2 linked regions of the Schizosaccharomyces pombe genome follow. The gene in region 1 interacts genetically with each later gene. Each region holds a gene or a part of one and is shown in the gene's direction. Other genes may lie near its edges.

Region 1 (17,041 bases):
TCCTCATTATGCTAAATCAATTAGACAATCCAAAAACCACATGCAGTGAACGAATAGTATTTTATAGCTGTATTTTTTGATCGTCAAGTATTGCAAAGCGACATCTCACTATAAAACAATTTCGATTTGAAAAAATGCTATCTGCATAAGATATTCTATAGCCAAATGAAATAATATCCGCTGGTCATAAAGGTTAAGTTTGAAGAAATGCAATTCCCAAGTACTAGGTACTTGAAGTATATGTTTACAATTCGATTAGGTACATATTTAAACTGTACCGTTTAAAATTGCATAAAAACATTGAATCAAACTTTTTTTATTTTTTTGTTTAAAATTTTTGCCTATCTATAATTAGCAAGATGTGATACAATTGTGATATTTAGTCTTGCAAAAATACTCATCATGGATCGTATTTTCAATAGAAACCTAACAAAGTGTTTTGAGAATGTTTTGTTTTATAATAATAGAAAGCATGCAAAAACACTTGTACCTTCTGCTAAACAAGTTTTCTTTGAATACGAATCGAAAACATTGCTTTCTACAACGGAGAGTAACAAAGTGACAACGAAACCCTAGTCCACCGAAAAGTTGTCTTCTGCAAAGCACAGAAATTACCCATTGAGGTTTCTTCCGCGGTCAATTGTATTGAGAAATCGAATTTCAAAGATGCAAATTTTAAAAGATCAGGAGAACTTAAATCCCGATGGAGGTAGCTTTGTTTTAATTACACCGCCATTGTCTCCTCCTAAACAGAAATCTTTATCATATACAAATATTTCGAGGAGACATGGCATGCGAGCTTGCATGAAAGGAATTGTTTACGAAGTTTACAAAAATCAACCGAAACTTTGGTTGCAGCAAGAATTAATATGGTTGCGTCGTAAACGGATTCATCCAATTCCTAAAGCTCGTCGTAATAATCATGTAGGTCGATGGGCTAACAGGCATTCCAATGTCTCTTCATCTTCTGGCTCTCGCGGACGCAGTAGTGTCTCTTCTCGAGACTCGTCACCAAGTTACAGCGGTGCTCTCCGGTCTGCTGAAAGAAGCATCTCTTCTAGTCCTTCCACTATTGAGGCCCGTAGAAGAAAATCGGCTCGTGGAAATGGGCTTAATGGTGCCATCGATGTTGCCAACCTTCCCTTTGAAGAGTTGCCGAATTTCTGTCCTGACATGTCTGTACTGGACAACCGTACGCATCCTCGTACACTAAAAGCTGAGTGGAAAGGTCCGCCTTTGGACCTTAGTGATGACCCTTATCGCGATCTCTTGCACCCTGCTGAATTACATTTGGCTTCGACTCTTCGTCTTCCATGTTTGATTTATCTTGATAACAAAAAAAGAATATTTGCGGAATGGCATCATCGTCGTCAACAAGGACTTACTTTTCGAAAAACTGATGCTCAAAGGGCTAGTCGAGTTGACGTAAACAAAGCCAGCCGTTTATGGAAGGCATTTCATGAAGTCGGCTTTTTCGACGATTAAACCTTTTACCTTCTGTGCTAAGATGGAAATATTTTGTTGAATCACCCATCTTGCTCTCCAAATACCCTTTCATACCAAATTTGCTTTTATTGTTATTTTCTCTGCTTAAAAGACTTTACTACCCCATTTACCAATTTTTAAAAAAGTCTTTCTTTTTGTACACTCAGCAAAGTGTTAACTTAAAGCTACATTTTGTGCTTGTTTATACTTTGTAACCATTTTATACCCTTCTTTTCTCTTCAGATTTTTGGTTGGTATGCTTAATTAAGCTTAATTCGTTCTTTATATTGTCTTCTTTTCATTTTATTATGATCCTTGTATTTAAAAAAAAGAGAAGCTATTGTATATATGGTCTTTGGGAGTGCCGTTTGTATTTTCTAACATTGTACCTAGTATATCATGCTTTTAAAAAAAGGCTACCTAAAAAATGCTCAAAAATTTTTGATGAGAGGCTGTGTTCTTCCAACTCTCTACTCTCCATTTTGATTCCTTTATTTATACTTAATTATATATTTAAAAGCAGAAAAATGAGGTAGAAAATACTTTGCGATCATCCTTGTTGAAGCATTTTCTTTAATAATCATTCTTTTTATATTCCTCAGTATTTCTTAAGATTTTGTGACATATTTAATGCATCTTTCCATTGTAGTAGTAACTAACAATTCGGCTTTTTTCTTTGAGCTTTTTGCATTTTCAATTATTTACATTTTCCATACTACTCAATTAGTCAATGTTACCTATATGATATCGTCACTTGTTTTTTTGTAAAAATTGAGGGTAGGGTTAAACACAACACATTGTGACTGCTTTGATTAGACAATTTGAAAGACTAAAAGCACAATCGTCCCCAACCCAACCCATATTAACAATGGCAAATCTGAGAACACAGAAGCGTCTTGCTGCCTCTGTTTTAAAATGCGGCAAGCGCAAAGTTTGGATGGATCCCAATGAGATCAGTGAAATTAGCAATGCTAACAGCCGTCAAAATATCCGCAAATTGGTCAAGGATGGTTTGGTCATTCGCAAGCCCAATTTGATGCACTCTCGTTTCCGTATCCGTAAAACTCATGCTGCCAAGCGTCTTGGTCGTCACACCGGTTATGGTAAGCGTAAGGGTACTGCTGAGGCTCGTATGCCCTCTACTGTTGTTTGGATGCGTCGTCAACGTGTCTTGCGTCGTCTCCTTCGCAAGTACCGTGAGTCTGGTAAGATAGATAAGCATCTTTACCACACTCTTTATTTGGAAGCCAAGGGTAACACCTTCAAGCACAAACGTGCCTTGATTGAACATATCCAACGTGCCAAGGCCGAGGCCAACCGTACCAAGTTGATCCAAGAGCAACAAGATGCTCGTCGTGCTCGTGCCAAGGCTGCCCGTCAACGTAGAGCCAAGGCTGTTGAAGAAAAACGTGAGCAAATTTACACTGCTGCCGAAAAGATCGAGGAATAATTGCCTTAATACATTTATGTTTTGACATATGCACTTTTGGTTTAGGCGGTAAATTAATTTTTCAATAGTGTTTTAAATATACTATGCTTGTTGTGTACATTAGTAAGGTGAAACGAATTCGTAGATTGTAGAACTTTCTCCTTTGACAAATGACTTCGGACTGGAAGTTAAAAAATTTTTTCAATTCATCTGTACTAATTAATCTATGAGTATGTTATGTCGTTCATAGTTAAACAGCACTAAGTTTAAACTACTGAGGTATTGTGTTTTATTATTGATTTGTAACATATAATCATTTATAGTAGTTGTCTAAGCACATTCCATGTACTATCTATCTATCTATAGTCCTGTTTTCAAGAACACACAACGATAAGCGTTGTACTATCCCTCAACCTGCACCATGGTTGTAACGGTCAAATCAATATATGCAAAGGATTGTATTTAATGAATAGCCAAATCCTTGAAGTTTCGATTTGTTTGTTTACATACTTATTTATGAAAAATCACACTTCGTTGGCATGGCAACCACCTGCTCATTTGCTTTCCTCACTCATACTGGAAGAGAGAAAAGTATCCGTCTCCCAAAATATGAATTTATAGCATTTTCTATTATATCGCAATTTCACATAGATTAATCTACAAGGCAGTTATTACCTGTTTGCTTGCTTTTCGATATCTTGTTGTACCCGAATTGCATACCTAGGCGATTTTTACTTGGTTCTAATCTCAAATTCACGATTTTTAAGTTATTATTGTGCTAAAAGATTTACGCAACATAGTATTGAAGCTCTGTTGTGCTTCCCTTAAGGACCCATCACTCTTTTGCATATACCGGTCATTTCTTTTGTAAATATATACATAATCGAGTGTGCTAAGCTATTCTATTTCTATACTTAACTCATGTATCGAAAATGGGATTTATGTATAACACGACACTTGCTCCCTTATATAGAGCATAGCGTTATACCGATAATTGCTCTCTTGGTTTTGTCATTAATATTTTACATTCTTTACATATGCTTTGGGACCACTTCGTATATATTAAGCGGAATTATACTCGGTGCGTATGTAAACAGCTTATTTCACAACAATCATAGTGTTATCTTGAATATCAAGCATCCTGAGTTGGGTGAACCACTTAAGCCATATCAAACTCCTTTACCACCTGAACTTGAAGCTCCTTTACAACTATTGATTTCAAAGCTTACGCAACATTACATCAATGGTTGGTATAAACACGTTAGTGAAGATCCATCTTTTATTCGCGAGGTTCAAAGCACCATAGAATATATTATGCGACAATTTTATGCATATGTGAGTTCTCAGGAATCCTCGCATATAATTTATGAACTTTTAAAAAATGCCATTTCTACTACTACGTTAGTTTTGTCGGATTTAAATCATTTTCGGAGCAAAAAAATCCCTCTCACTGAATTTGCTCTTCGTTATCCCGAGTCGGCTGTTTCGAAACTACTTGATCAGGCGTCCATTGAAAGAACTTTACGCGCGCAAGCTTCTGCTATGATAGTTAAGTTTAGCCGACCTGAAGACTCAGCTTGTCTTCCTTTACATTGTTTGCTGAGAGAAGTTCTTGCAATGCAAGTATTTAAGCGTATCACAACACATTGTTCTTCTCCAAGGTTCGTGAATCGCTGTATTATTCTTTATTTTTCTTCAAGTGAGGATAAGAGTGATTGTTTGGCAAAGAAAAATTATGTTAACAAGTGTCTTATGGCCAAGGCACTTAAAGATTACCCCGTTCATACCAATATTGATCCTGATGCAGGGAAGTTATCATTTGACGATGCTTTTTACGAAGCTCACATTGAACTTCATTATCAATTTTTGAAGGAGGCTTCCCTAAATACCCTTATTAAAGATAAAAAAATGCTCAAGTTTATTATCACTGTTCGTCCCGTTCATTTGCATGTCTCACCTTGGGTGGTTTATCGTCGATATCGGGGGTTCAAAACTTTATACTATTTGTTAAAAAAGCAAAGTGCTAGAAATGGGCGAGCTGTACCGAGTTTTCCTGTTTGGCGTGGAAACACGTATGAGAAGTTTCGTGAAGGATTGTATTTTTTTATAGAAGCTTTACTGCATGATAGTCACTTTGCAACTAATGTTGATGTCCGCAAGTTTTTTGCAAAATCTATGAGGTCTCACCCATTAGTTGATGACATTTACAATGGATTTGATGTAGATAAGAAACATCAATCTTCCTCTGTACCCACATTACCCAATCTTACAAATATTAGCCGAGTGTTAAGCAATAAAACATCTAAAAGTGCAAAACCAAAGCGTTCTGAGCGAACTGGGCTGTTGAGTCATCAAAGTACATTGGCACCTGAACCACTTAGCCAACAAAGGGATAGCTTTGAACTTTGTACCACCGGCTATAGAGATACCGGTTCATGTACTTCGGATGATGAGGATTCGATTCATGAGCCTTACCGTCCCGCTTCCACTCAACCAACTGAAAACCCCCCAGCGATGCCTGATCATAACGGAAGTCCAACCACTGAGCCACCTAAACCAAACGCTTTTGAATTAAAAGAAGAACGTCTTAAAGAAATTATCAGCGGGGGATTTGCTCTGGTTGATGAGCTTTGCTCTCTGAATTCCAAGTTGTGGTTTTTTCGAAAATCAGTTTTAACGATTATGAAGACGACAGTATTGCATGGTCCTGGGAGGTTCTCGGCTCAAGTTGAACGAATGTTAAAGAACCAAATTTATGACAAGCTTTCAAACACTCAACTAGTGGGAGATTTATTAACTTCGTTAATCTTAAACGTATGGCCCGACGAAAAAAAAGCCATGGAATCACATTCGACAAGGGCACACAGACGTTCAACTGAATCTAAAATTTCCTTTGATAGCGAAGCCGATTCCCTTTTCGAAGAGGCTAGCAAATCTGTTCCTGAAGACCCTGTTTCAGTTTTTTGTGACGAGGAAAGCGATGAAAGTTTGAGATTACGAGCCGAAAAAACCCTTGTTGAAAACGCTTTATCTGAGAATTTTACTCTTATGCTTGGACAGTCAACCTCCGAGGAAAGCCTAAAAATTATTTTCGAACTGCTTCAAGAACCGCAATTCGTGCAAGGGTTCCTTGCACATTTACTTAGCAATGCTCTTCGTAGCATCATATAGTCAATCAAGGTATATCGCAAGTGTGCCGTATATTTATTTCTTTTCGCCGATATATACCTGGCATTTTAATGATTTTTACTTCTTTCCCTTTTTTATCATTTTGTTTCCCTTCTCTTACATTTTAAAATTCCATTAGCTTTTGGTCGATACGTGATGACCGGTTTCATGATTAATCGCAAAATCAAACGAACCTTTAGAACCATTCCCTTGTTTTCTACCTCGTTTGTTAATATTTTATTATCCTACTTTCTTTTATATATTTATTTATAAAATCGTATTTTCGACTTTACCTTGCTTTAAGATTTGTTTGTTTAAAGTTGGCGAAGTCGAGAACTATCTTCTCTATCTTTAGTCAAGTTTGCGTTAATTTATACATATTGAGTTTCGTTTATTCGGTTAATTGTTCGTTCCGTTTTACAAGCAATCTAGCTTTTTGTGTAAGAAAAAGTTAGACGTGTATATGTTTAGAAAATTTAGTTGTAGGAACTATGATATTAATTGACAATCATATTCTGACACAAGTGGTCAATTGAATTGGATTGTTCAACTTAAGAGACCAAGTTTTGGCGGATTAAGCATAATTTTTGTTAACAGAATGACTTGAAGCAACTACCAAATTGTTGACATAGCAGTACCCAAAATTTTACGAAGGATGAAATTTTTTAAAGCAGAAAACGTTCGTTAATTTTGAGATTAACAGTAATTCTAGCATCTTCAAAGTTTGATGTTTGCTCAACAAGTTTTTGTTTTTACGGATAGCGACAGGAGTGTAATACCTCTGGTTTCGAGAAAACTTAAATATGAGAAGTTTAAACAAAATAATAATGCATTTTCGGTTGGGGTTTCAGCATGAACTTGCAAAACTGAAAAGATACTCAATTCAAACTTCAAAATATTCTTTTAAAGAAAACTGTAGTCTAGTAATCATACTGCTATTATAGAAAAATATAATCTTACGCAAGAACAGATTCCGCTGAAATTCGCAATGCTTATTTAACGAAAACGACTTTAGTGAAGTTTTAATAATTTCTAAGAACGTAAAATACCGAGTAATTGGATTCCCATTTGCTAGTATGTTCTGACCAGAACTAACACATCTTTTGCGAAATAACCATGTCGGAAAGAGACACTGCTTTAGAGAAATATAAATCCTATTTATTACAACATCGAGAATGGGATTCAAAACTGAAGGATTTGCGTTTTGGAAATCGAGATCTAGTCAAGAAATATGATAAAACAGAGGATGATATAAAAAGCTTGCAGTCGGTTGGTCAGATTATTGGAGAAGTATTGAAACAACTTGATTCTGAAAGATTCATTGTAAAAGCTAGGTAAGTAATTACTCAAACTTTTGGGAGATTGTTTGCTTTACGTGGAGGATATATACAAGTGAAATGTGAAAATGGATGTGAAGACCTTATTATTAGTAATGCATATGTTGGGCGTTGAATTCCTTCATAAAGAATTTTTTGTGGCGTATGAATGGGAACCATGTTTAAATGCATATAATCATTTGCCCGTTCCTTTTTTTTTTTAAAGATAAGTTCAGTGGGCAAAATCTGTGTTCAAAAACTGTTTGGTTCTAACCTCTCCATCCAGCAAAAATTCTTTTTGAAATGCGCACACGGTATAAAAATCTATAACCGGAAGCATGAAACACTCTGTTTACTGGTTTCATAGCAAATCGTTGGGAAAGTAGATACCTCACGTATAGTCATCCTTCTCTTTTTACAAATCTATCGTTGCATTAGTACACTATTTTTTATTTCCTTTCATTATTTTCTGTTTCCCTAACCTATTCTAGCTCTGGTCCACGTTACGTTGTAGGTTGCAGAAACAATGTCGACCAATCTCATTTGGTTCAAGGCGTTCGTGTATCTTTAGATATGACCACGTTAACCATTATGCGTATTCTTCCTCGTGAGGTTGATCCTCTCGTTTACAATATGTCAATTGAAGACCCTGGTGACATTTCTTTCGCCGGTGTCGGTGGCTTGAATGAACAAATTCGTGAATTGCGTGAAGTTATTGAACTACCTTTAAAGAATCCGGAATTATTCCTTCGTGTGGGAATTAAGCCACCAAAAGGTGTTTTGCTCTATGGTCCTCCTGGTACTGGTAAAACTCTTTTAGCTCGTGCCGTGGCGGCATCTTTAGGTGTTAACTTTTTAAAAGTAGTTTCCAGTGCTATCGTTGATAAATATATTGGAGAATCTGCTAGAATAATTCGTGAAATGTTTGGCTATGCAAAAGAGCATGAGCCATGTGTTATTTTTATGGACGAAATTGATGCTATTGGTGGTAGAAGATTCTCTGAAGGAACATCTGCTGATCGTGAAATTCAGCGTACATTGATGGAATTATTGAATCAGATGGATGGTTTCGATTACCTTGGCCAAACGAAAATTATCATGGCGACAAATCGTCCTGATACTCTAGATCCTGCCTTGCTTCGTCCTGGTCGTCTAGATCGTAAAATTGAAATTCCCCTACCAAACGAAGTTGGTCGTATGGAGATTTTGAAAATCCATTTAGAAAAAGTCTCTAAACAAGGCGAAATTGACTATGAAGCATTGGTTAAACTGACAGATGGAACAAATGGTGCTGACTTGCGGAATGTGGTTACAGAAGCAGGATTCATAGCCATTAAAGAAGATCGCGACTATGTCATTCAGTCCGATTTAATGTCCGCAGCTCGTAAGGTTGCTGACCTGAAGAAACTTGAAGGTACAATTGATTACCAAAAGCTTTAGTGCACATATATCCAAAAAGCCATGAAATGATAAGTTTACCGATGAAGATTATACGCGCAACTGCATAGTTATGATTAAAAAGGTCGAATAGTAAGTGAAACGTTTACTTTTAATATATTCCGACTCTTTTGGCTTTTATCATGTATATATGAATATGCTTGATGGGAATCTATGTATATTATCGTAAGGCATATCTGTGATAGTACAAACTGATTTTCTTCAATATTTGATTATGTTTTCCATATCCTCCAAATACCAAACATTGTTTTTCCACTCTACATAATTTACTGGCGACAAAAGAAAAAATGATCAAGTAAAAATAAACAATTAATTATACACATGAATTAAAAGTAAAGCAAATGTTTGACTAGAAATTATTAACTAACCAAATGCACTGAAGTGTAAAGAACGAACTAAATATATTGAACGAAACCCGGTTCAAAAATGCAAAAATTCTTCTCTTCCCAGGAAGGATAGTTTGAAGTTATCCTTAAAAGGTAGTAGACCTTTGACAAAGAAACGAGGAAAAACGTCTAGTACGCTAAGATAAAAGAATAAGAGAGGTGAAAATCATAGCTGGCTTCATATAAGCAGCCAAACTAGTTATTATAGTACTAGATGAAGCTGAATGCGCAGTTTAGAAGTCATTTTATCCCATAATTTCAAGAAAGTAAAGGCAAGATAAAGATAGCCAGATAGAGTCATTGAAAAAGACGACGAAAAGGCGTAAAACAAAGAGCGCAGAAATGAATAATCTAAAAAATTACAAATGAAGTATTAACGTATTAAAAGGAAAAAAGTATGAAACGCAAATAACTGATAATAAAATGATTAGCAAGCTAGTTTCTTTAAAATCGGCGTACAGTTTCCCTCTTTTTGTTTGTCAAAGAAGAGTAAGCGTAGGAAATGCCAGTATTCCCTTTGTAAAGACATGTACGAAAATTAAAGCAACTGTACCAAGATAACCAAAGAGGCTGTTAGAAACAATTTTTTTAGACTTGTTGCTCGACAGTCTCAAATGCCGATTCAACAGGAGGCTCAAAGAAAGCAGCGTGTCCGAATACACAGACACAGGAAGCACCAACTAACCAAATGATAGTTTCGATGGGAGATGCGAACAGCCCAAGAGGAATCAACACGCATGCTAGAATGACATAAAGATTTTGGTTGGAAATTACACGATGGCTAAGTTGTAAATCAGCTCCTTGAAGCTTACGAATACCATAAACACCACCAACACCAATTCCAATGACAATTAAAAGTAAAGGGTTACGGATAAGTGCGTAAATAACGAGCATAGCAATGATTGCAAGATAGTTAGAAGAAAACCTCGAAAAGTTGAAGCTAATTCTCGACTGAGCTTCACTGAAATTCCTAGGTCTAGAAATTCTACGAACATCCAAGAACTCGCCCACCGATTTAAAACCACTTAGATACTGAGCCTACCATTTTGCGTTAGTGAATTGATCTTTTCAAGTTTACTACTCATAGTTCATTAATTCATACCCTTGAAGCGTAAATTTCTGAGAAAGTCTCCGAAACTTTAGTAATACTCAACGACAGTGCTGACATTATGAAAAACCGTAGTAGGTGTCTTAGATATAGGGAAAGGATAAATTCTACTTTTCCTGGATGTTGACAAAGTATTCTAAGCCATTGATTGTTACCCACTGTAAAGTACATTGAGAAAGCAACGCTAAATAGATATTGTGCAACAGAAAAAATTGTAATAATTGTATTGCATAACTCATTTTATTTAAATTATGAATCACTATCGTATATAGCGTAATTTTGCTTTAAACGCTATTTCAAATCTATGGTAAAACTAGATGAACTAACGTTGCTGCGAAAGTTCATAGATTGCTTATAAACCTATTTCTTTAACTAAAAGGATGTATTTTAACTTTATTTTACTGAGCCAAAGTCCATTCGTTGACGGTGTTGAAATTATTCTACAGCTTGGTCATTGACAAATTTCATTTTCTCTGATAATTCATTTAATAATTTGTATCAAAAAAAAATAGATTCTTGAGAAAGATTAACATAAAAGATAAAATTACCCTACATTTCTGTACTCAAATCGATATGTTCTAACTTTGAAAGGGTTTCACAATATATGAATAACCGTATATTGGTACAATTTAATCCTATTATAGGTAAAAAACCTCACATAGAGACAATAAATAATTATTATTTTTTGTTATATTGTCGAGAATAGAAGCATGTAATGAATGCAATATCTCGTTATTTCCAAAGAGTCAACTGCTAAGTGAGTTCCAACAGAATTAACAGGCAGAAGCAAGATACTGATGTCTTCAACGATCACAAGATAAAAGGAAGGTGTATTTTTTACAAAAAATTTCGCTGTCAGCTTGCTCCACAAAATGCAATTTGCACTCTTCATTTTTCACAACTCTTCAATGTCAAAAAGTAGTAACAGCCTAAAAATACGAGCTAGTGTTTTTATTATTCAAGGTAGATCAAAAAGAGTATAATTTCCGGCTATCTTGAAAATGATTCACGCTAGCTAAAAGTATGCGATGATGACTAATTAATGATGACCTGCATCATTTCGATTCTACACACTTTAAACATCATTTTCTAATGCTTCTAGCGTCGTCAAGTTAGGACCTGGCCTAATAAAAACATCTGAAAAATCTTCGTTGCTTGTAAGCTCTAAATTATGTTCATTCGCCAAATGTAAAACACAAATAAAGGCAAAACTGGTGGATATATCTTTGAGTTCTTTTTTCTCGTATGTCTCCTCTAATTGATTGACAGTGGAAAAAAAAGATTTGACTGGCATGTTGGTTTCTTCTGACTCCATCTCCGAACCCTCAATATGAGAGTTGATGGAATTTTCTTTAATTGTGTTTTCAAGATCTAGACATTTCCATAGCTTTTCTTTCAGTACTCGCACATCAACCTTTTTAGCACGCTTCGCATAATTCAGCATATCTGGTTTTGCCAAACGAGCAGTTAACAAAAGGTTATCACCAAATCCTGATGATGATGGAGGTGTAAGCAGAGGTGTTTGCTTAGGGCTATCGGAATCTCCAAATCCATACGGGGGTATTCCTTCATCAACATTATCACTGCCATCAGAATCGAATCCATGGGGTTGAATACCGTCCAAATCATTCTCATCATCTAAGGCTTTATTCAGTTGTAGCTGTCCTTCTCCATCAGCGTTGGGTAGAACTGACATCTTTGGTTTCAAGAAAAGCTGTAAAAGCCTCTTAGAATCATATTGGTAGTCATCAGGTAGTAAACATCGATTATGTCTTTTCCAATGAGACTTGGGAAGCTTGAGACTGCTGGTTGCAGGAGTGAACAGTGCTTCGACGTCTACTTCCTGCAAGAAATCAATGGCGTTATCAAGTTCTCGACGCTTTTTCCGTTCCGTGGAAGAAAGAGAACGCGATACATTATCTGAACTTTCAGCCGTATTGGAAGAGTTGAATACAGTTGATGCGTTATTGATATTTTTTCTCAATGCCTGAATGCGCCAATGTTCGGGTCCAGCCCAGTTCTTTTTCATTGACTTGTCAAAATATTCGTATACTCCATTCGCAGCGGCAGTAGAAATAATAGAATAATTTTCATTCATAGTACTTCCATCAGCCATATTGACTTCAGTATCCACACCAAAATCTGGATTTTCGGATTCGTCCATTGCTTTTGGTACTACATCAACATATGGGTTCTCCTCATCGTAAGCCATTTCCTCCAAAGCATGCACAATATGTCCTTCTTCACCATCGGAATCGGAAGAAAGGGAAGCTGCATCAGCATCAGTTTTCTCCATCGTATTATCCACTAAGGAGGTTGTCGTTATCATGTTAACTTCATCACTTAATGATTTTAAGAGAGAGACATCAAGATTCCCTTTACTATCAAATTCAAAGCCCTGTAAGGAGGGACATATTGTCAACTGATCAATATCGGTAAAATAGCATTTGTAAATACCATTCAAGGTCTCCCTAGAAATATTGTCATGCACATTAGTCATTTCTGTGTCATGGCTTTCGATAGGCGCTGCGACTACCGCTTCCTGCGATTCAGCTTCAACATCTTTATTTTCCAAATCCTTGATGACAGTATCGCTAGAATCGAATACAATTCGTCCATGTTGATCAACACAAAGATGATTCATTAATAAGCCTTTAGCACCATCCTCATCAAAATCTGCACACATTTTCTTGAATAAAGGATCAAAAGAACATTCTAACTCAAATTTTTTAGCGCGTATTGACTCGAAATCTTTAACGAGAGTCTTTACCGAACGTTGTGCACGCTTTCTCTCTTTCTTTTTCTGTAGATCCTCATCATCATTTTCAGCATCTTCGCCTTCTTCCGTTTGCTGCAATACTTTGGAATCGTTTGCCAATCCACTGAGTAGCTTGCCGGTCTCAGTAGCAACAGAATCAATACGCGAAGTATAAATTTTCACGCATCCGTCTAATGTACAGCTTGCCTTTTGGAAATTTATATCTTCACCATCACGTAGAAGCGACATGTCGTGAAAATAGTCAATAAGCGCAAAATTCCAGGTATTTGTGGAATTAATTTTGTTGTCAGTAGCTAATTTAATCCATTCCTCAAAATTAGAAAGAACAGGAACCTGATGAGAGCTATTAAATGGTGAAGAATTGTTTAGAGATTCTCTTCTTGGCGTTATTGAGTGCAGAGCTGAACTTCTTCGCAACTCGCGCTGCTTACGGCTGTTCTCTTTAGCTCTTTTTTTTTCTAATGCATCGTCATTTAAGGAGGGTAAGCTAACGGGCGCATGCCCGCCTAAACTAGCTCTTTTCATTGATTTAAGTAAATGTTTATGTTCACAAGTGGTAAGTCGGTGTGCCTATACGTATATCGCGCTTTAACGATATGCCGTATATTTCTTTCTAATCAACAAATGATAAAGATTCAAATAAGTTTCTAAATAAATGCCAATATGATAACATTATTTTTCTTTTGAAATTTGTTTTCAAATAATATAGTATTTCCCAATTTACTTCATTGATGGCTTCCCGATTACAAAGTCAAAAGTCTTTTGTTTATTATTCTGTTACAAATTTTGTGAAGTTTCAATTATTATAAATCTTCCATATAAAATTAACAAGGTAATACCAAATCAAGTTTGGATCCTAAAATTCAGTAGCTATCAAGTTTTAAGAGAATTTTATTTTTCGTTTTCGTTTATTTAAACTTGAACTTCGTAGTATTGTGGAGCAAATGGATATATCTAAGACAGTATATCTCTTAACATTTTACTTCTAAATCACTCCTGAATGCAATCCACTGAATGGTATGCGCATTTATCCTGACTCTCAAAATATTCAACCAATATCAAATGCAGACGATGTAAGACAGAAAATTGATTCTATTCTATATTAAAAAATAAAAAGCATTAGTGTACCATCAGATATAATGCGTGCTTTTTAAACGAACTATTATAATTGTACAGCTGCCCATATATTCATGTACCATCAATTCTCCAAGAGCATCATTGTCTAGTTTAAATAGCCACGACATGTTGGAGCACCACACAAACAAGGAATCTTATCAGCTTCTTCCGGAAACTTGTAATCATAAGTAAGTTCCTCTCCATGCATAATATCCCTGTCAGCATAAATTACGATTTTTCTTTTCCCTTCAACTCTAATAATCCTAGCTATACAATTAGGAGCGCATGAATGATTGATGAAACGCGCGATATTTCCCTTTTTTGTAGCATCAACGATAACATCCTCGTCAATACGGAACAAATAACTGTCTCCAATACCTTCACGAACGTAGTTCTTTTCACGATTATCAGCCACCCGTTGTCGAATGATTTCTCCAATATACTCTATGACCATATCATTTTTATCAATGTTTTCCATGGCAAAAAGCCCTAATGTATGAATGCGACTAGGGCCAAAATGTAATTGCTTTTTACGAGCCTTTAGTGCATTGAATCTGAGCAAGTCAGCTTCGGCTGGCAATTGAGACTTTTCAACTCCAGCAGCCAATCTTCTATTGTTAACACGATTCATTCGTGATGTGATACGGCTTGTAGAATGACTAATAGTATCGATGGTTGATCGATTACGAAGTGGTAGATATAGTGATTTTTCGGTAGTTGGAATAATATAGTATCCCTCACTTTTAGCAGAACCGCTAGTATTAGAGCGAAAATAACCTTTAGGTTCTGGAAGAATAGCCGTATCTCCATACTTAACATCCCCATTCTTAAATTTACATGACTTGCGTTCATAAGCCCAGAAATTGGGATCGTTGATATCCATGAGGGGTTCATCCTTGAGTGCCTCTTGAAGATATGAGTAATCTTCGTCATTTTTTACCAAGTACTGTAGACCATCCAAGTCAAGAAGTACATCGTCTTCTGGATAATTGTAAGGAAGTGCACCATAATAAACGCTTCCAGTTTCATCAAACTCATTAATACGCCATTTGGGAGCTAAAGCTAAAACTTCATCAATCTCTTTCTTAGGCGATATGAGTTCATCTTTTATGGCGCTACCTGATTTTGGAATCGCAGCACTAGGAGAAAGTATTGATGCATCTGATTCGGTTTCGCTGGACGAAGTATAGTCAACTTCCATCTTTTCATATTTTTTCTTTGATATTTTAGATTTTGTACGAAAACGATGGAATTTGTCATTTTCATCAGATGTATCAGAAAAAACTGGAGTCGCCTCGTCAGACTTCACAGACTTTATTGAGCCAATCTTCCCTCTTTCTACACGCTCGTCTCCAGAAGATAACAAAAGTTCTTGATCAGACTCGGCTTCAGAAGCGCTTGAGTTATACATTTGATTAAGCTGGTAGTGTAAAGGTCGAGCTTCGTGCCTTCTTCTACGTCTTCTTTGAAGTTTCGACTTCGTTTTACTACCCGCTGAAAGATTCATTTTACTGGAATCAACTCGTTTTTTAAATTTGGGAAGACTGGGGAGCTTTCCGACTGTTGATTCAATTTTTAAAGGAACATCAGGAACACTTGTAGATGAAACCAATAAATTTTCTTGTAGTTCTTCCTTAACAGAAGGCTTAGGCATTGAATGAAGATATTTGAAGATTGCCGGTCCAATTATTTTACTTTTTACATCACGTAACAAAGCAGCCTCAAGATCTCTAAGCACAACTGAGGTTGCTTCAGCGTACGCTTCCTCGGGAGGTAAAACAACTCTTCGTACTGCGCTCTTTTTTCCATCTTCCTTTGTACGTGAAGGAATGTCATGAAATTTCAATTTTATGCGACAATTTTGTACGTATGTACGATCCAGCGCACGGTAACAATTGCTCGCTTCGCGATAATTATTAAAAGTTATATAAAACCCGTCTTTGTTCATGTATATCTTTTCATACAAAAATTTTCGAAAATGATGCTTTATATCAGTATAATACACACGATCTGGAGGGACAAAGCGATCGTCAATTAGTAAATAAATATAATCATTAATATTTTTTGGAACATCAGTCTCGCTTGACGTAAGAAAACCTGATTTCTGGTCCACGTTCTGAACTTTAGAATGTTGCAAGTCTCCATTGCTCAATGTTTGTGAATTTTTCGATGGTTGACGCCAAGGAGGAATATCTTCATTCATAGCTGCAGATAACTTTTGCCGCGAAGATTCATCTTCCCGCTCGAATCTCTGTTTCTGTAAAGTTTCTTCTTGAAATTGCTTTTCAACAGCATTTAAAGCTTTCTTGAACGCTTCTTCGCATAATGAACCATCCCGATCAAGGACTACTGAAAGAGGCTTACCGGAAAACCTCAAGCCATTTGCTTGTTGTACAGCAATTTTCGCTGAATGTGCTGCTACAGAAATGGAACTACGCTTGTCAAAAGATATACAGCACAACCCTAAAGAAGTACCTGTATAAGGGTTTAACTTTAAGTCTAAATCGAAAACTTCCCCAAATGATTTAAAATGATATCGGAGCTGTTCAGAAGTCACGAGCGGTGAGATGTTAGAAACAAAAACCTGAGTTGGAGGTTCTGGACCTAATGAATTCTCATTGTAGTCATAATTTATAGTTTGCAAAGATTTTAAAAATGGCCTTCCACTTTTAGGAATACCGCGGGCATATATTGGATTTTTAAGTCTAGGGTCGCGAACTACTAAAGGTGGTTTTGAAACACCATTAAACCGATATATAATTTTGCGACCAAGGTTCTCCTTGATTCCTAATTCTG
Region 2 (8,553 bases), on another chromosome or scaffold:
TTGGCTTAGATGCATTGGATATCAGGTAAGTTACTACTTATAATTAGGAATTACAAAAGAATAGCACTCAAATATTTTAAGCCGCTGCATATGATTAAACGAGATTGAAACAAGTATTTGTATGTCCTTTATAGTACTCGATTGTGATCCTTTCTTTAACTTCACCTTATTTTTAATAATAATAATCTCATTGAAAGGACAGCACATCATGTCTATAAAGGGAAATATCAATAGGAATTGTTGACTTGGCTGGTTTAGCCTGTATCTCTTTACGAAATCTTTTTGTTAATAGTTCTATACTGTCATGCAACTTTTACTAACTAATAAATCTCAGCCATCAGATTTGAACCGACTAAATGTCATCCATGTTGCTGGAACTAAAGGAAAGGGTTCTACATGTGCATTTACATCCTCAATATTACAGCAAATACAGAAGAGTGGAGAAAGGTCGATTCCAAAATGCATTGGTATGTACACTTCTCCTCACCTCCGATCTGTCTGTGAACGTATTCAATTAAATGGCAAACCTATCAGTCAAGAGTTGTTTACTAAATATTTTTTTGATGTATGGGAGCGCCTAGAGAATGCTGTCGGTAGTGATTCGGAAAAGCCAATGTATTTCCGATTCTTGACACTAATGGCATGGCACGTTTTCATTTCAGAGAATGTCGATGCCGCTATCATTGAAGTTGGGATTGGTGGTGAATACGATTCTACAAACTTAATTGAAAAACCATATGCCACAGCAGTTACAAGCTTAGGTCTTGACCACACGTCTTTGTTGGGGAACACAATAGCAGAAATTGCTTGGCAGAAAGCTGGAATCTACAAAGAATCAGCTATTGCCTTAACTTGCGAGCAAGCTCCCGAGGCTATGAATGTTTTAAAAAACCGTGCTGCTGAACGAAATACATCACTTAAGGTAGTCATACCTCCTGCTGAATTAACGCCGGATATGATTGGTCTTTCAGGAGTTCATCAGCTTGGAAATACATCCCTTGCAGTTTCTTTAGTCCAAGAATTCTATGAAAAGGCCGGGTGCCCTTTTGATAGAGATCCATATCAGGATCCAGCAATTTTGGACGGCCTCAAGTATGTAAAATGGCCTGGAAGATGCCAAATTGAGGAAATCAACAACATAAAATGGTGTTTTGATGGAGCCCACACCAAGGAAAGTTTGGAGGCCACTGGACTTTGGCTCGCATCCAAGAAGAATCTTTATGAGGATGCAGATGCCCGTATTCTTCTGTTTAACCAGCAAAGCAGGGATGATCCAATTGCTTTACTTAGGTCCTTCTTAAAAGGATTGGAAAGCTCGGGAACTGGGATTTCGTTTACGCATGTTATATTCTCAACCAATGTCACCTGGAAGGATGCAGGCTATAATCCAGAGCTGTTAAGCATTAATACCATTACTGATAATAAGCCCGTTTTGCATGTACAAGAGGATTTATGTAAATGGTGGAAAGAATCGAAGGGCACGACTAGTGAAGCAACAGTAGCCCCTACCATCCAAGAAGCTATTGAGACAGTGATGTCAATTAAGCAAAAATCCAGGAATACTTTTGTTTGTGTCACCGGAAGTCTGCATTTAACTGGTGGTGTTTTTGTAGTACTAGATCAAGCTGTTTTTTGATTGAAATGGAGAAAGGTTCTACATTTTGCAACATTGTTTTTGAGATTTAAATGATTCTTAGATATACAACATAGCTTTATGCATCTTTGTAATTACAAAATGATTTTTAACAATTTGACACGTAAGGGGAACAAATTTGATTTCACGAATTATAATAGTATGCAGATAAAAAGCTGTGTGAAATTTGATTATACTCGTGCATTTCCAATCAAACAAATAATTTACTGTAAAGCTTTAAGGCTGATTATTGACTTTTTATATATACTTAGCCAATATTTAAGGTATGAATGTACAATTATATTTTACAGGAACAGTGTGTTGAAAGTTGCTTTTGCTTGGATCTCGTAACCCAATTACGACCACCGCATCTTTTCAGCATCCAGCCTAGTTTACAAACTGCCTATTATAAAAACGTTTTAAGCTCTTTTAATATTTTTGTTTTTTTAAAAAAAGCAAATGGCAGATGCAGAAGACTCGCGTCACTCAAAAAATGAGGGTTTTCCCAACACTTCCTTAATCACAGAAAAACTAGATCTATTGGATTTATTTGGGTCACCAAAAGTTAAAACTGAAAGAGAGGGACGTCCAGCGCGCCTTCTTGAAGGTCTATCGGCTGTTAATGCTGAAACTGCATTTGTAAAAACACACCCCCTTCAGCATGAATGGACATTGTGGTTTTTGAAACCACCTACACAAGGTCTTGAATGGAGTGATCTTCTTAAAGAGATTATTTCCTTCAAGACAGTGGAAGAGTTTTGGGGCATCTTTAAGACGATCTCAAAAGCTTCGATGCTTCCCGCCAAATCGGACTACTCTTACTTTTTGAAAGGTATTCGTCCTGAATGGGAGGATCCTCAAAACATGAATGGTGGGAAATGGGCCTACCAAAGCAAGCACAAAGGTTCAAATCTCGACGAGTTGTGGCTGTATATGGTAAGTCATGGTCTGTTCATTTTAACTGCTGTGATATCGACTTTACAGAATGTTAATTTTTAAGTTGAAAGTATTAACGTATGGAAATAGGTGCTGGCAGCCATTGGAGAAACATTAGACCCTACTGGGAAAGAAGTTACTGGTGTAGTTTGCAATATGAGGAAAGGATTCTATAGAATCGCTGTATGGACACGAAATTGTAATGACAAAGATGTTTTGGAAAAAATCGGGTATGTGAAGTTTTAAGAGTAACGTGTTGGTAGTTGACTGGACTAACAAACATGTAGCCTGCGCTTTAAAGAAGTTTTAGGGATTTCTGATAAAGAGACTATAGAATATAGTGCTCATGAGGATTCATCAAAGGCTGGTAGTATGCGAGCAAAAACCCGTATGAGTCTTTAATGATATCAAGTTTCAAGTTTTTATTTTTACTTTCTAAGGCTTGGTAAATTATAGGGGTGTTCATTTACGAATGACAATATGTTATTGCAATCATTGCCCTCTTGTTTTTGAGACCTCTAAAATACCAAGCTTATTGAGATGAGATAGATGCCTCTTTACAGTTAGTGTATTCGTATGAATAGTTTAATTTGTTATATTTGTTGAGCATTTTAATAGGCTAATGGATATAATCTATATTTGACCCTTCTCTTACGTTATAAATATTAAAATTCTATCAAGAATGTAAATATGCTAGATCGCCAAATCTTCCTATTATTCATAACCGCCTGTATATTAAACATTTATCGCTAGCTTATTTCAAGCTGAATAATGTCTACTATGATTTTACTATTTCCGAGGATCTAATGTAATGTTGGAACTAACCTTTATCGCTAAGGATCCATGAATGTTTGAATCAAACTAAAATTTCGAAATAATAGGCGACCTTCATTTCTTCTTATCATTGTCGAAATCGGATAACATTAATTAAGAAGATAGCCCTTTTAATCGAATTAATGCAGCGCTTAATGAGTACTGGGAAAAGTGGGGAAATTTACTTGCAACTTCTGTATGCTTAGAATTAGATATCTGGTGAAGAAGTATCTACAATCAGACTTTTCAATGTACTGTACGGAATATTGTCGAGTATCAGTGCACCACTTCAATTCCAAATCTATCGCTTCGCTTATACTCAAAGTTTTTTAAACAAATAAAGCTCAGCACTAACTTCATCATTTGGTTAATCAGCAATTAGCAAAGATGAAATGATTGACGAATATTTCGTAACGCTGATACAATCTCCCAACTCCAAACATAATTCGCTTATGTATACCTATTTAATAACCTAGAGCTTAATTGAAAATATACGAATGCATTACCACCTTTTCTAACTAGTCAATTTTTCGAGTATCGTTTTTTAAGCAAAAGAGAGCCAAAGGCTAACATTAACTCAACTCCGTTCTGTGTATCAATTCTCCTTTTCAAATTTCGAAAATAGTCATCTGCGTACAGGGACATCAACGAAACATTCCAACAGTATTTCAAAATTTTTACTTATTTATTTCATAAATATGTACCCTCGCTATTATTAAAACATTTAAATATCTCTGAATAATACAGGTGTTGATGAAACCTGTAGTTTATATGATACACATCTTCATTATTCGTACATAAAATTTGCAGTCGAAAATGAACCAAGAAAGTAACATTATATGATTAAACAAATCGTCTTATATAGTAGTATGTGTTTTTTATCGAATACAGTGTAAATATTCATTGTTATTTGCTGTTTTTTCTTAAAACTCATAAATAGCGTTTTGTTCGTCAATTATTAATTTCTATCACCAAAGTCTTTTAAATGAACCAAATTCCCTATGTTGAATGGAAAAAGTTACTTGTTATCAGCTTTCTGTTTGTTTCCGTTAATGCGCTGTTCAAATTTTTCAAACTCGGCAATTGCAACCTCCTCTTCTGGATCTAAAACTTGTACAACATTTTCCACTTCCGGAATGTAATGCTTCAGCATTTGCTGAATTCCATTTTTTAGTGTCACAGCTGATGACGAACAGGTTCGACATGCACCTCGAAGTTTAAGAGAAACGGTACCTGTCTTCTCATCAAACCCTCTAAATTCCACATCACCACCGTCTTCTTGGATAGATGGACGAATGCTAGTCTCGATCAGTTCTTTAATCATTGCAACAATTTGACTGTCGCTTTCTAATATTTGAGTATCGCTAGCCCCCTTTAGAGGCTCTTCAGAGAGTACTGGGCTTCCATTACTTAAATGCTCCATAATTACACTAAACACTTCTGGCTTCATTTGAGCCCATTCAGTTCCTGCTCCCTTGGAAACAGTAATAAAGTCCTTTCCAAAAAAAATGCTATCAACTCCATCTATATCAAATAGTTTCTGTGCCAATGGAGAATTCACAGTTCCTTGTCCTCTCATGAATTCACAGCTTCCGATAGTTGGAGGCAAGATATCTAGCCCTGGCAGGAACTTCAAAGCGTTTTCGTTCGGTGTCTCCTCCGATCGGATCCATATGCTGCGAATTGCTTGCAATTGGAAACGTGGAGTGAAAACGTTACCAGCTGAAGATACTGGTAAAAAGGTTTTCTTTTGGAATGCTGTCCTTAAAGATTGAAACGGCACAACTCTAGGAAATAACATGCTTGGAATCAAATCGTGCTTTATCCAATAAGAGACAAAATATTAAGACAAGTTCAGAATTTGAAACTTCTTAAGTATACACTTCAAACAGATGGGAAAATTTAAATGTTTATTAACAATTTTTAAATCAGGAAATGCTAATGTAAGCAATTCTTTAAATACATGCAAGAAGGCAATTTGTACATGGGCATACGAAAACCGATGTGATCCTTATACTTTCTTATACAAATTAGCGAAGTTCATTATATTGAAATAAGCCATTGTTCGTGATTCAACAATTTACTTGTCTTTCATCACTAATCTAAATTCTCTCTTACAAGAACAATAGACATTGTTTTCAATTGAACAAATCGGTAGGCTCCTGCCTTCCTCAACAACTTAATTTCTACTAGGTGTTCAAAAACAGATACCTTCCTAGTAAATTTCACACATCATTGCTTCATTAAGAAAGAACTGTTTAAATCGTATGGAAAAGGTAAGCCAACGGTACCATTGTTCATTCACAAAATACTGATGAATTACTGCAGTCTCAACTTGAGTCACGCGTCCATTTGCTTGAACAGCAGAAGGAGCAATTGGAAAGTAGTTTACAAGACGCTTTAGCTAAGCTAAAGTAAGTGTGGTAAAGTGATGCTAGAAATGGTAGAAAATATGAGTTATGCGCCTTTACGCGCGTTCAGGTTCATTTTGGGAAAAGCAATGTATTGCCGTTCCATCAAATCTATTCAAGTCATCATCAAGCTTGTCTCGTTTTATCTAATGTTGACAAATGATTTAGAAATCGAGATGCTAAGCAAACTGTACAAAAACATATCGATCTACTCCATACCTATAATGAAATACGGGATATTGCTTTGGGAATGATTGGCAAAGTGGCAGAGCATGAAAAATGTACAAGTGTCGAATTGTTTGACAGATTTGGAGTTAATGGGTCAGAATAATTATTATCCATTCAGTTATTTAGGAAAAAAGAGAAGTTAAACAAAACAAATAAAAATGTAACGGAAAAAGTGACAGAGACAATCCAAGTTTTCTTTATTAAGCATTACTTTGCTTTCGCTAGAGATCCAACGCCAATTCTTATATATTTATTATGAAAGTTTACGTAAACGATCACAATTGTTAGAACATCTCAAGACTTTAGCTAGTTGATTAGTATTAAGGCTCGTCAGTATGTCCGACGTCTTTTTCAGATGACAATAGCAACTTATGAATGTTATTTGCAGTTTCAGTATTGGCTGTCGATTCTAGTTTTGACAAGTGATGTGACCAAAAATCCTTTTGCTGGTCGATGGGATTAGATAATCGTTCGTAACCTTTTTCTAAGTAGGTAATTCTTTCATCCACCTCTCGTGAGTGTACAGTGGGAGAGGCTTCAACTACTCTTTTAACGGCATGCTGCAGATTACCAAGTTGATCAAGAAGGAAATCGGTAGTTTCTGGTAAAGTAACTTGCCAATTTTCGGGTACTTTGTTGAGAAAAGAAATTCTTTCCAAATGCTTTTCTATTTCTGTTTTTTTTTCTCTTTTCCTGCTGAGACGCATGCGAAGGTCACGACGTAGTTGCATCTTTACTACGAGTTTTTCTGCAGCCTCTTGAATTGCTTGATCCATGGCGGCGTCTTGCTCTGTTGTGATTGAATAGTCTACATCCTTTCCAAACGTACGCATGTAGCCTTTTAGCTCTGGTGGATAACTAAAAATGTTTCGAAGTGTATACACCTCGAAACCATCATAGTAACGATCCACCACACTTTCAAAGAGAACCTCGAACTTGTGTAGTCCTTCTTCTATTTCCTGTGGCGCTTTTTTAGCAAACCGCGTTTGTGAAAAGGCTTTATCCACACCATTTACACCTTTATATAACAGTTGGTTCGTAATGTTGATCACATCATCAATGAAGGAGAGAGGAGTGAATTCTAGTAACTCCACTAACATTTTTTAATTAATTCCTTTACATTGAAAACACTGATTAGCTTCCAAAGAGGAAACTAGTGAGTTATGATTTTTAAACGGCAAGTTGTTCTGCAATGTACCAACCCCATGTTGCATTTTGTCTGGTGTACTCAGATATGATAATAACGAGGTAAAAGGGATTTCCGTATATCCCATCAAAAAGTATGAATAATACATAGATTTGTTGCTGTTTTTATTGCTGTGAGGAACATATAACTCAGGCGATTAACAGTTTAGTCGGTTTATTTTGTTAGTTGCTTAGAAGTGTGGCTTTTGATTTGTGCTTGGTAAATCATTACTAGAGTTTCTATATCCTCAACTAAGCTCTAGTGGAGGAATACACTAATATTAACTATATTCGAATTATACATTAATAGTACGGACTCATCTTAAACCTCAATTTCTATGCTTTCTTTTATTATTCTTCAGTAGCCTTTTTTAGCTATCACGGTGGGATCGTTCTGCTATGCAATTTGATTTAATGAGGGTTAGCACCTTTTCCCAATATCGAATTAGTGAGTTCTGCCACTGTAGGAATATCAGCATAACTAGAAATGCTAACAGCTTAACTTTCATTCATCCATTACTTACATACATCAACAATGTCCAAAATCAAACTGATTTCATCTGACAATGAAGAGTTCGTGGTCGGTATGTAGAACGGAGAATGTTTTGAATTGAGTGAATTGACAAACTGTTTATAGATCAACTGATCGCTGAGAGAAGTATGCTTATAAAAAATATGCTTGAAGGTATGATCTATACAAGCGCTTGTTGAGTGCAATAATTATTATGGACCCTGTTACTAAAATCTCAATTTCAATAGACGTTGGTGAGATTAATGTCCCCATTCCTCTTCCAAACGTATCATCGAACGTTTTGCGAAAGGTACTCGAATGGTGTGAGCATCACAAAAACGATTTGTATTCAGGAACTGAGGAGGAAAGTGACATTAGATTAAAAAAGTCTACCGATATTGATGAATGGGATCGTAAGTTTATGGCCGTAGACCAGGAAATGTTGTTCGAGATAGTTTTGGCAAGCAATTATTTGGATATTAAACCTTTGCTTGATACTGGTTGTAAAACCGTTGCCAACATGATTCGTGGCAAGAGTCCTGAGGACATTCGGAAAACATTTAACATCCCTAATGATTTTACGCCTGAGGAGGAAGAGCAAATCCGTAAAGAAAATGTACGTTCCTTGGTACTTTATTAACTTAATTCTAACCGCTTGCAGGAATGGGCCGAAGACAGATAGTTTGTGGCTTTTTGTGTATAAAGTTTTTTGTCCTTGGATCATTAAGTGTAGTTTTCAGTGTAAAATGGGAATCTTCCCATCCACCTCATCATGCGCCTTTTTTTTTTTATAAAAAAAAAATTGATATAAAGTATACTGATGATTTTTTACTACT

Evidence for each region.
Region 2: mutations in rpt4 (region 1) and tif452 together harm fitness less than expected from each alone (positive genetic interaction), as found in Schizosaccharomyces pombe (one large-scale study listed by BioGRID).

What each region holds. Positions count from the first base shown.
Region 1 is NC_003421.2:398,414-415,454, forward strand, and holds rpt4 (proteasome regulatory subunit Rpt4), read left to right. Parts: upstream 1-7,187; 5' UTR 7,188-7,198; coding exon 7,199-7,416; exon of another isoform or gene 7,417-7,470; intron 7,471-7,838; exon of another isoform or gene 7,839-7,889; coding exon 7,890-8,838; 3' UTR 8,839-9,182; downstream 9,183-17,041. Other genes in the region: Clr6-associated factor 2 Laf2, read left to right, coding at 667-1,485; rpl1902 (60S ribosomal protein L19), read left to right, coding at 2,354-2,935; mug122 (PX/PXA domain protein), read left to right, coding at 3,836-6,085; yip3 (Rab GTPase-binding protein), read right to left, coding at 9,831-10,280, 10,345-10,410; condensin complex non-SMC subunit Cnd2, read right to left, coding at 11,426-13,654; histone H3-K4 methyltransferase Set1, read right to left, coding at 14,352-17,041.
Region 2 is NC_003423.3:1,132,407-1,140,959, forward strand, and holds tif452 (translation initiation factor eIF4E, 4F complex E subunit isoform 2, stress response factor), read left to right. Parts: upstream 1-1,987; 5' UTR 1,988-2,092; coding exon 2,093-2,569; exon of another isoform or gene 2,570-2,659; coding exon 2,660-2,799; exon of another isoform or gene 2,800-2,856; coding exon 2,857-2,971; 3' UTR 2,972-3,213; downstream 3,214-8,553. Other genes in the region: met7 (putative folylpolyglutamate synthase), read left to right, coding at 1-25, 335-1,636; NifU-like protein nfu1, read right to left, coding at 4,401-5,183; protein Swi5, read left to right, coding at 5,650-5,658, 5,711-5,796, 5,962-6,124; MIS12/MIND complex Mis12, read right to left, coding at 6,342-7,121; SCF ubiquitin ligase complex subunit Skp1, read left to right, coding at 7,742-7,790, 7,844-7,891, 7,966-8,333, 8,379-8,399. UniProt on the Schizosaccharomyces pombe protein: Recognizes and binds the 7-methylguanosine-containing mRNA cap during an early step in the initiation of protein synthesis and facilitates ribosome binding by inducing the unwinding of the mRNAs secondary structures.